Canis lupus familiaris: one gene and its partners. The protein of the gene in region 1 purifies or fractionates together with the protein of each later gene. This does not show direct contact. Links are inferred from orthologs where the notes say so. Each region holds a gene or a part of one and is shown in the gene's direction. Other genes may lie near its edges.

Region 1 (4,116 bases):
AAGGCGTCTCTCCAGAACCCGGCCCAGAGTCTGCCTCTCCAGCCTTCCTGTCCCCACCACACCCCTGCATGTCCCACAGCAGTCCGACCACTTCCTGCATCGCGCCTTTGCTGGGGCTGGTCCCCTGCCCAACGGACCCGCTTTACCCCCTTCTTCTGCATCTCTCCCCCACGCACCAAGTCCTTCAAAGGCCAGGCAGTTCAGGCTGCTTCCTCTGGGCTCCCTTGACCCGACCCCCAGGTGCCACCTGTGACTAACGCCATGTGGGCACACAGTTGGCACTTACTGTTTGCAGAATGAACTAAGGGCCAGTTCTGACACTGTCTCCCAGGCTCATGGGAGAGTGCTTCCTGTTCAGGCCTAAGCGCATTGTCCTGGTGCCCAGACCTCCCCAGATCCCATAGCCGCATGGCTGGGAAGGCACCATTGTGCCCACTTGACAAACAGGGTGAGGAGGGTTGTGGAAACTTGCTCGAGGTCTTGAAGGTCAGAGTAAGGAGAGCAGGGCTTTGAATCCAGGGCCGTCTGACCTCAGGAAGGCCATCAGGGGCTTTTTCATCTGGGGCTTTTGTCCCTGGAGGATTTTCCACCCTTGAAGGGGGCAGACCTAGTGTTTCCTATCCTCCCTGGGCCCTGAGGCCTCTCAGCCCCAGCTGGCACTTGGGAGTGTTCCTTCCATATCCCATGCCTTAGTTTCCCCGCCTGCAAAGCAAGAAACGACAAGCCAGTGGCAGGCTAATGTAAGCTTGGTGCTTGATGACACCTAATCAAATCCATCTTTCAGGGCCAATTATCTCACCTCATCAGACCTCTGTTTTCTCATCTGCAGAATGGGGACAACTGAGTTCAAGAACTATAAGCTCCACCTGGGCCTCCTTGGCCAGGGCCTGGCCTGGAACGGCTCCTTGGTGGGCTGTTAGGGTGATCATTTTCATCGGCGCTTTGGGGGCTGCCAGATGCGCCCCAGCAGCTGGCCCTTCAGGGGGTGGGATGGGAGGGTGGGGTGCATAGGGAGACCAGCCTGGAGCCTGGGCCCTCCCACTCCCCCCCCCACCCCCCGCAACTCCCCCCCCAGCCCGAGGGCTCCCCACCCAGCGACAAAGCCCGTGGCACTTCCTCTGCGTGCCTGGCAGGCCGCCTGGCCCGGCCCCTTCTCTAAGGAAGCGCATTTCCTGCCTCCCAGGCCGGCCTGGATGAGCCCGGAGCTCCCCACCGCTGCCTGTCAGACCCCCCAGCCTCCAGCTGCATCCCCAGGCCCGGACCTGCCGCTGCCGCCTCCGCCTCCACCGCCCTGCTCATCCTCTGGCCGTGACCCCCGGCCGGCCCGGCGCCCCTGTGCCCACTTCTCCTGACCCCTCCGCCGCCACCTCAGAAGGCTGGAGCGGGGACGCCGTCGCTCCGGCCGCCTGTTCCCCTCGGGTCCCCGCTCGCGCCCACGCCGGCCCCCACACCCACCCGCAGCCCTGCCCCTGGACACCGGATAAGGCCCCGTGCGCAGACCCCCTGGTGGACCGCATGGACCGCACCGCGCTTCCCCTGGTCGTCGCCCTACTCCTGGCCATCTGCAGCCTCAGACATACAGGTAGGTGTCGGGGGACCCTGGGGTGGGGTGGGGGACCCTCGGCCCCATGTGCTCCCGGCATCTCTCCTGGTCCTGACCTCATGCCCAGTGGGGCTGTACTGGGGGGCTTGGACACCAGAGGGGGGTACCCACCATCCCGTCTTGGCTAGATAGAGAACTTTCAGCCCTAAAAGTCTCAAGCATAAAGGGATGAGTTATTTGCCTTAATCCCGGCCTCTGGCCTCTGCCCTACCAGCTAAGTCTAGTTTCTCCCCAGAAAGCCTAGGTCGCAGAGTGTGTGCAGTCGGGGGAGGGCCTCCTGCCCTCTCTGGGCCTTCAGGTTCCCATCTGAGGAACCCGTGGGAAGGAGGGCCTGTGGATTCGCAGTCAGCACTAAGGCTCTTGGTTCAAAACTCACGTGGTTACTTCCTCCTGGTGTGATGTTGGGGGGACTACCTTTGGGCCTCTGAGCTGAGCAGGGATGGCAACGGAACTCCTCTGGGGCAGCTGGGGGGCCGGTGGTGAGGCCATGCTTAGAGAGCGAGCTCCAGAGCGGGCTGGAGGATTCTGTGTTGTTATTGAGGCTTTATGATTCGCTTTAAATTCCTGCCTCTCACCTCCCCAGGGCCCCTGAGCGGCTCCCAGAACATTCTTGAACATAGGGCTCTCCCTCTGTCTCTACTTACTTTCTCTTCCTCAAGATGCTGCAGGGTGGGGACACGGGCCCAGGGCTCTGCAGGGGCTTCTCTGTCTGGGGGCTTTCCCAGGTGGTCATGGTTCTGCGGCCTTCCAAAAGTGACCAGATGAGGGACCATGAGGAGCTGGGGACTCCAGACCTTCATCCCACTCTCATCCCACTCATGCCGGCCTCGCTGTGTCCACTCCGCAGGACAGCCCGGTGGGCACCCTTCATCTATGGCACATCCAGAAACTGTCTAAAGGATCTGGGGGTGGGGAGGAGAGAGTGTAGGGGAAGAGCACAGCAGTGGCCACCCTCCCCACCTGATCCCAACCTGTGGACTTTAAAGCCCCTAGTTCTTGGTCTCTAAACGCCTACCCCTGTCTTACTGATCACAGGAAACTGTCTCAGACATTAAGTGACCGAGCACAGATTTCACCCTAGGCTTGTGGTTCCTAAGCATGTGTAATACGCACCCTCCACCCCCATAGAGCTCCCCGAAACCCGGTAAGATGGCTGCCTTTATCTCCACATTTCACAGGAGAGGAAGTAGAGGCTGTACCTGCCAGGTTCACACAGCTTAGACAGAAGCCTACCTGGGCTCCACGATAGGCCTCCAGGCTGCCCTTTCTCCTGCCTCCCCCACGTGTCTAACTTGATAACACTGTCTTCTTCATCTCATCAGAGAAAGATCTGTGTAGAGCTTTAGGGTCTGGTTCTATGGGATGGAAAGCAATGGTGTGCTGGCAAATAATTAACAACAGGGGTGGAGGGTGTTGGGGATAGTGTTTGTTAATGTCCAGGGTATTAATGTTCTCACATGGCTGATTGCAAGCTACCAACTCACCAACCTTGCAGTTGGGATGCGGTGTCCATAGACCCTTTGGTATCTTTGCCACACAGATGCAACAGACATCTGACCTCAAGAGCATAGGTTTAGAAAAATGGAGCAAAATAGCTAGGAAATAGTGAGTTTTGACATTTATTACCATTTTTAAAATGTAATTTATTTTTAAGCTTGTAAAACTTAAATTATTTTAAAAGATTTTATTTATTCATGAGAAACAGAGAGAGAGGCGGAGACATAGGCAGAGGGAGAAACAGTTTCCCTGCAGTGAGCCTGATGTGGGACTCGATCCCAGGACCTGGGATCACGATCTGAGCCAAAGGCAGATGCTCATCCACTGAGCCACCCAGGGGCCCCTAAAATTTAATTTTTTAAGATTTTATTTTATTTTTTTTAATATTTTACTTATTTATTCATTAGAGACAGAGAGAGACAGAGAGGTGGAGACACAGGCAGAGGGAAAAGTAGGCTCCATGCAGGAGCCCCATGTGGGACTTGATCCTGGGGTTCCAGGACCATGCTCTAGGCCAAAGGCAGGCGCTAAACCGCTGAGCCACCCAGGAATCCCCTAAGATTTTATTTTTAAGTAATCCCTACACCCAATGTGGGGCTCAAACCTACAACCCAGAGATCAAGAGTCATATACTCCACTGACTGAGCCAGCCAGGTGCCCCAAAATTTATTTTTTTTAAAAAGATATTATTTATTTACTTGAGAGAGAGAGAAAGAGGGGCAGAGAGAGAGGGAGAAGCAGACTCCCCTGCTAAGCAGGGAGCCCAACGCAGGGCTCGATCCCAGAACCATAGGATCATGAGCTGAAGGCAAACGCTTAACCTACTGAGCCATCAGGGTGCCCCACAATTTAATTTTTAACAATGGCTGTGTTTATTTTTTTTATTATTTTTATTTTTTTAAAGATTTTTTATTTATTCATAATGATAGATAGATAGATAGATAGAGAGGCAGAGACACAGGCAGAGGGAGAAGCAGGCTCCATGCACCGGGAGCCCGACGCGGGACTCGATCCCA
Region 2 (3,647 bases), on another chromosome or scaffold:
ACTCCCCATCTTTGAATTGGTAGACTTACATTTTTTGAGCACCATCTTATTTTCTCCATTTTCTTTGAATAAATATAATTTCAGCAACTTTTGATATAATGATTCATTTGAGGTTGTTTAGTAATTGTCCAGGTATTATGGGCTGAAATGCTTTGACACTGGGATAGGAGAAGAGGCTTTGAACCTAAAGGGGAGAATTGTGATTGCTATCACTTTTTAAGCAATTGCATTTACTTTTTGTTTCTTTAGGGAAACCAGCCATTGCTCATAGAGATTTGAAATCTAAGAATATCTTGGTAAAGAAGAATGGAACTTGCTGTATTGCAGACTTAGGACTGGCAGTGAGACATGATTCAGCCACAGATACCATTGATATTGCTCCAAATCACAGAGTGGGAACAAAAAGGTATGCTTGTAAATAGTGTTTATTATCTTCTGAGCTCAACTTCTTTTTAATTTCCTTCTCATTTATGTGGATTATCTTCTGAAACTCAAACCTGTACTTTATTAGATTGCCCACAGGTAGAAGATCTCATGGTCTTGCCTGCTCTGAAGCCAAGGTTACCTGACTTTTAAAGATGCCTGCTGATGAAAGGTGGCCCTTCCAGAAAATATCATTCGTGGCCCTTCCAGAAAAATTATAATAATAATAGGAGCTGATGTTTATAGGGTACCCAGTATGTGCCAGTCATTTTAATGGGTCATACATATATATATGCTTGGTTCTTGCTTAATATATATATATATATATATATATATTCATTCTCTCAGTTAATGCTCTCTTCAAATGCTGTACTGTAGCTAGCCCAACTATTTTCTTATTTTTAGTTCCTGGAACTATACTTTCTTCCTTAGAATTTCTGCATGTGTTGTATCCTAGAGCAGACTTTGTCCTGCTGTTTCCCTGGTTTATTTTTTTTATTTTTTTATTTTTTTTTGCTGCAAAAAGCTTTATTGTCTTGTTTCCCTGATTTATAGTCACCCTTCCTTTCCTAGAGGAAGCCCTTCCTGGACTGTGAGGCGCCCTTCCCAGGGGCTCTCATAGCAAGCTGTGAAGCTGGGCCATTAAGGCACTGAGCACATTATAACTCTCCATTTACTTGTCTTTATATTCCATTGGATTGCAAGCTGCTTGAGATCAGGCTTGTATTCCCAGCATCCATTATAGCACCTAATGCATAGTAAGTCCTTAGTAAATATTTGTTGAATCTATGAGTTTTCTAAAGAACATAACTAGGTAGGTGTCATTGCCTTCATTTCACAGAAGAGGAAACAGCCCCATAGATGTTAAATAAAAAGGTCAGCCTCACCTGAAGAGCTGAGATTTGAATTTAGGCCTTTCTGACCCCAAAGGCCTTAGTGTGTATATCACAGCATGTTGCCACAATGTATCTTCACACTATTGCCTCCACCTTGGATAGAGCCAAGCTTTATTCTATCTCAGTTGTATCTGTGATTTCTGGATTTGACGAGGACTCTCAGAACTCTTGATGTGGGGATTCAAGACAGTGATTGCTACAGTTCTTCATGGATCCTGATCTGTAACTTCAGGAGGGTTTTTAAAATTCCAAAACCCTACAATGAGGCATCAGTAGGAGGACTGGCATTCATTTTTTAATCTATTATTTTGTTCCCTGGATTATGTCCTCATCCTTCCTTTTCATCCTATTTTAGTGAGAAGACTTCTAGATTAAAATATATGATCCCTGCATAGTATTTGACAAAGTGGGTGGTATATGTTAAGACATTTATAATAGTCATGATTGTTATATAGGTGTCTTTCATTGGAAATGAAGATCATAAGGCAGATAAGATAGCATGAAATTGCTGTTTCAGCTTTTCATGGCATTTAGTTGACATCATTAATTTTCAAAGCAGTGTGGATATTTAATATTTTTCTTGAGTCTAATATTTTAGTTATATAATATTGTGTGTGTGTGTGTGTGTGTGTGTGTGTGTGTGTGTATCTCCATATATGAATAGAGATACCTGAAAGGTTGTTCATCAAAGCATTAATGATTTTTCACTTTGTACTTTTTGAACTTTGAGAAAATTTCTATAAGAAGCATGAGTCATTTTAAAAAGCAGAACCATGCTAAAAGGGAAGAAAAGTCTTAAAGTTAATACCAATTTAAAAAATATATATAAAAAAAATTCTCAGTAGGAAAAGAAAATATGTGAAACAGTTCAAAAGTAGTATGGCTACTATTCCATAAAGTAAATTGCTGACTTCTTTTTTAGGTATATGGCCCCCGAAGTTCTAGATGATTCCATAAATATGAAACACTTTGAATCCTTCAAACGTGCCGACATCTATGCAATGGGCTTAGTATTCTGGGAAATAGCTCGACGATGTTCCATTGGTGGTAAATTTCTCCCCCTCTCCCAACAGTTTGTCATGAACAGAAAAGGTGGTCCAGGATAGCCGCTTTTTTTTTTTTTCTTTAAGATTTTTTTTTTTTAAGATTTTATTTTTTTATTCATGAGAGACACACACACACACACACACACACACACACACACACACAGAGGCAGAGACACAGGCAGAGGGAGAAGCAGGCTCCACGCAGAAGCCCGACATGGGACTCCATCCTGGGACTCCAGGATCACGCTCTGGGCCAAAGGCAGGCACTAAGCCACTGAACCACCCAGGGATTCCCTTTACGATTTTTATTTATTTATTTGACACTGAGAGATGGTGGTAGAGAGCAATCACAAGCAGGATGAGTGGGAGAAGGAGAAGACTCCTCACTGATCAGGGAGCCCAATGCGGGGTTCAATGCCAGGACCCTGGGATCATGACTGGAGCCGAAGGCAGATGCTTAACTGACTGAGCCACCCAGGCACCCCTGTCGTGTTTTTGTTTGTTTGTTTGTTTGGTTTTTTTCATTGAATGAAATTATACACATTAGTAGTCAGAAATTATATTCACCAGGTGATCACTGAGAGTGCCAAAGAAAATAATGGAGATAAAATTTGCAGTGGGGGGAAATGACATGATATGACATGCTTATTCTAGTGTATTCTTTTTCTATTTCCATTTGAATCTTGGGAAACATGAGAAACCAAGCCCTTGTTATCTTGGAATATAGTTATTTATAATGGATGACTGCTTGAGAGGCCACCCAGGAAGCTGTTTCTACAGCATGTACCTGGGTCAAACTCATTTTCCCCCCTGAGAGTGTGTTATTTTCTCCAACTTCTTAGCTGGAAGTTACATATACAGAATACAGTTACATTACCATTACACTAGTTTTTAAACAAGTTTATTTTAGCTGAAATTTAGTTTTAGATTGAGCACTTTTAATATTTACTTGCGGAATAGTTTCTTATACTTAGGGGCCCAGGCTTGGTTGAGACTTGGGTTTATGTGGCAATAAGAGGGAGAGCATGTCTCTGTATTATATAGCAAAGAGGACAGATCCAAGTAGAGGTAAAGGACTTGCACCCCAGATTTGCTTGTAGGATTTACATCTCCATGGTAGAGTGTATATCCCCTGTACCAAGTGAGAGGGTGAGCACTCACAGGTTAAAAACTATCATTTCTTGCACATGAGGTGAAAATGTTAATCAAGTCATCATAGCTCATAGTTAACCGTCATTAAAATAGCCTTTGCTGATCCCCTAGTGATATGTAGTTTCAGAGT
Region 3 (3,647 bases), on another chromosome or scaffold:
TACCCTCAGCATCAACAGGTGGAGGCCGGGGGGTCACCAGTCCCTGTGGGAGACTCTCTAGGGGCTCAGATTCCTGGCCCTTCAGATGTGAACTCCCTGTGTAGGGTCTGAAGACTGGGGCTGCGGAAGGGACACCTGGAGGGACCGGTGCGGGCAGGAAGGGAAGGCTGGGCCGGCCAGGGCCGACGGGAAGGCTGACTGCAGGCTCCTGGGGCGGAGGGAAGCTCTGAAAGCCCCACACAGATTCGTGGCGCATTATAAACACTGTAATCTGGTGTCAGCCCCGGCGCTGATTAAAGGCCCATTAGACACGCTCAGGCCTCTGTGCAGCGCTGATTAGGGCCGGAGCGGCACAGGGGCCGGCCTGGAAGCCCGCCACGGGGAGAACAGCTGGCGGAGGCTCGACTGAGGTTGCGGCTGCGGGGCCACGGCCCCCAGCCTCAGGCCGGGAGCAGGGGGTGCCCGGGGCACCTTCTCTGGGCCTGGCCTCTCCTGCCTGAGCTGTGGGCGGCTCCCCAGGCAGCATTTCGAGAAGGCTCCGCTAAGGGATGGCGAGGGGACGCAGCGAGGCCTGTGCCATCTCTGGGACGGGGTGGCTGTTACATGGACCTGGGTAAAAGTCCCTTTCTCCTCGCGCCACCTCGTCCCCCCAGAGCAGGCCAGCTCCCCTCCCTTCGGCACTGCTCCCAGGTCAAGAATGTGCAGACCATCTGGGCTTAAATCTTAGCTCAGTCACGCGCTACCTGTGTGCTTTTAGACGAGTTTCCTCACCCCTCTGGCCTTAGTTGCATTGTCCATAGAGTGGAGCTGGTAGTGCGACTTACGGGGTTGCTGTGAGGATTTAATGCAGTGCGGCCGGGACAGTGCCTGGCACAGCGTACGTGCCCAGTCCATGTTTTTATCGGGCATCTGTGATAGTTGGGGCCTGGGAGTGGTGCCCAGGCCCGGGGTGGGAGGCAGCGTGGAGAGACCGGAACAGGGTCCGGCTGAGGAATCGACGAGAGGAGTTCAGGCCTTGACTCTGCCTTTCCTGGCTGTGTAACCTTGGGCTCCACTTCCTCGAGCATCAGTTTCTTCATCTGTAAAATAGAGGTTACGGTAATACCCGTGGGGTTGTCGCAAAGACGAACGAGATAAAGCATGAAAGTGTTCATAGCACAATGCCTGGCACCTGGTGAGCGCAAAATCAACAGCCGTAATCCTTATTCTTTGAAAATATATTGATGATGTTATCGTGGCCCGTGTCTTACACGGGTAAGACAACTGGTTTTCTGCACCCTGGGGCAGAAGGTGGGGCAAGGCTCTCCTCGGGATGGAATGGGGTCTTCTTGGGGTGCCGAGTGACTGTCCGTCCCCCCGCCATCCTCAGGCATCGTGGAGGACTACAGGCCACCCTTCTATGACGTGGTGCCCAATGATCCCAGCTTCGAGGACATGAAGAAGGTGGTGTGTGTTGATCAGCAGACTCCCACCATCCCCAACCGGCTGGCCGCAGACCCGGTGAGGCCTCCGCGGGGGCGGGGGCGTGGGGGCCTGGGGATGCCATGGGGTAGGGGCTCACAGCTGGGAGTTCTGGCCCCGGGAACACGTACCTGAGGTCTCTGCTTCACCTGCATGGATTCCGGAGGAGAGATGCCAGGGTACCTCCCTGGGTCCTCCCTCCCACATCCCTGGCCTGCAGAACCCCGAGATTTGGGTTACTCGGAGATATTTCAGAACCTTCTATCTCGTGGTGAAAAGTCAGCCTCTCTGCCGCATTTCTTGCTCTGAACTTGTTGCTGTTTTCGTTATTTTCTCAAAACGCTCCACATGCATATAAGACACATACACACGTGGACGTGGACGCATAAAGGCGGGCACCTGCCTCTGCACGAACACGTCCTCACACAGGCATGCGCATCCATGCCAGACTCTCGGCCCTCTGAAGACGAAGAACGTGTCTCCCTTGCCACCTTATATCCCTGTTATCTGTCCCCGGGCTGGCACACAAATGAGTGCTCAACCAGTGTTTCCGGAAGGAAGGAAAGTACATGTATGTACGTACATGTGCATAGACACACGCGTGTTTCTGTACAACATGCTTATCCATAAACAGCCCCATATATGCGCTGCTAGGCACACACACGTACACTCAGGCCAGCTTGAGTTTTGGGATGGAGGAGAGGCTGGCTCACTCTGGGGCCACTGAGCTTCCTGGGATGGCTTCGTCCTGGACACTCCTCCAGGGGGCCCAGGCGGGGCTGGAGGAGGCGCTGGGAGAGTCCGTGCCCTCCACGCCGGGCCGAGAGCAGAGGGGAGCCCCCGGGCTTGCACATCTCCCAATCCTCGGATCTTGGGGGAGGTGGGTGGGGTGGGTGTAAGGTGTTCCACAGACACTCCTCACCAAAGGGGGCCTGGGTGCGCCCGAAGAGCTGAGTTCCAGCTCTCCTCCTGCCCTGCCTGCTGCCTTCCCCCGTCCCCACTGCCTTCATCTTCCATCTTTGGGTCTCTCCTCTCATCCTTGCCTCCATTCCCCCCCTCACCTCGCAGGCTTTCCTCTTCCCATCCTCAACACTCCCATCTCCCTCTTCCCGCCCTTTCTGTCCTGCTTATGTCTCTCTGTCCCGGGGCACCCTCCGTGTCACCGCCTGCTCAGCTTCCCTGACCCGCGTCTCCGCTTCCTCTCCTCTGCAGGTCCTCTCCGGCCTGGCTCAGATGATGCGGGAGTGCTGGTACCCCAACCCCTCTGCCCGCCTCACTGCGCTGCGGATCAAGAAGACACTACAGAAACTGAGCAACGGTCTCGAGAAGTCCAAAGTGATTCACTAGCCCCAGGCCTGAAGCCGGACTCCCCTCTGCCTGCAGAGCGCGCGTGGGGTGGGCGGCAGACGTGGCCTATCTGGGTAGAGGTAGTGTGAGTATGTGTGCTGGGGAGGAGGGTGCCCCTCTTTGGGCGGCCCTGCCTGCCCCGCCGGCTCATCCAGCCAAAAATACAGCTGGGCTGAAACCCGATCCCCCGCCGTCTGGCCTGCTCAAAGCAGCAGGCTCCCTGACGCCTGGCTCCCTCCCCACCCTCATGCCCTGGGCGCAGCCCCTACCACCCCCAGGACAGGATGCAAAGAGGCCCCGGAGCCAGGGTGGCCGGGCCAGGGAATCCCAGTCCTGGGCCCAGAGCCCAGGCCTGCACTTTACCCCCTGCCCTCGGTCAACCTCACGGCCCCACCGGAGCTGCCAGGGTGACACAGGGCCCTGTCTAGCCTTTGGTGGACAGCCTGCCTCTGGCATAAGCCCTACACCCAGGGCCCATCATTTTCTCTCTGTGGGTTTGTATCTCAGCTCCATGAGGCCTACGGCCTCTGTCTTCTGGGTGAGCTGAGTGCCAGCTGCCTGGGAGAGCTGGGGCCTGATCCTGGGCCCCTTCCCCACCCCTGTGCTAGCTCACTTATTACAGCATTAAGCCCAAGGAGTCCTGCTGCAGGTGTGGCAGGGTCAGAGGGCAGTGGGGCAGGTAGTAGGTCAGATGGAGGAGGCCCAGGACTTTCAGAACCAGAGAGACGTTGAAGCCGAGCAGACCTGGGGAATGGCTCCGCTGGGAGTCAGGAGACCCAGGTCCTGGTCCTGGGCAATTGCCCTAGGTGATGAGAAAGAGGCCTTCACTCTGGAGGACC

The links.
Region 2: the proteins of ENG (region 1) and TGFBR1 purify together in Homo sapiens (affinity purification with western blotting; 5 studies listed by BioGRID and IntAct, with this or other methods). This does not show direct contact. The link is inferred for Canis lupus familiaris from reciprocal best matches to the Homo sapiens genes ENG and TGFBR1.
Region 3: the proteins of ENG (region 1) and ACVRL1 purify together in Homo sapiens (affinity purification with western blotting; 3 studies listed by BioGRID and IntAct, with this or other methods). This does not show direct contact. The link is inferred for Canis lupus familiaris from reciprocal best matches to the Homo sapiens genes ENG and ACVRL1.

The regions. Positions count from the first base shown.
Region 1 is NC_049230.1:55,645,116-55,649,231, forward strand, and holds the start of ENG (endoglin), read left to right. Parts: upstream 1-1,238; 5' UTR 1,239-1,515; coding exon 1,516-1,582; intron 1,583-4,116. UniProt on the Homo sapiens protein: Vascular endothelium glycoprotein that plays an important role in the regulation of angiogenesis. Required for normal structure and integrity of adult vasculature. Regulates the migration of vascular endothelial cells.
Region 2 is NC_049232.1:56,544,839-56,548,485, forward strand, and holds part of TGFBR1 (TGF-beta receptor type-1), read left to right. Parts: intron 1-249; coding exon 250-406; intron 407-2,241; coding exon 2,242-2,366; intron 2,367-3,647. UniProt on the Homo sapiens protein: Transmembrane serine/threonine kinase forming with the TGF-beta type II serine/threonine kinase receptor, TGFBR2, the non-promiscuous receptor for the TGF-beta cytokines TGFB1, TGFB2 and TGFB3.
Region 3 is NC_049248.1:43,574,554-43,578,200, forward strand, and holds part of ACVRL1 (serine/threonine-protein kinase receptor R3), read left to right. Parts: intron 1-820; exon of another isoform or gene 821-1,079; intron 1,080-1,369; coding exon 1,370-1,500; intron 1,501-2,673; coding exon 2,674-2,808; 3' UTR 2,809-3,647. UniProt on the Homo sapiens protein: Type I receptor for TGF-beta family ligands BMP9/GDF2 and BMP10 and important regulator of normal blood vessel development. On ligand binding, forms a receptor complex consisting of two type II and two type I transmembrane serine/threonine kinases.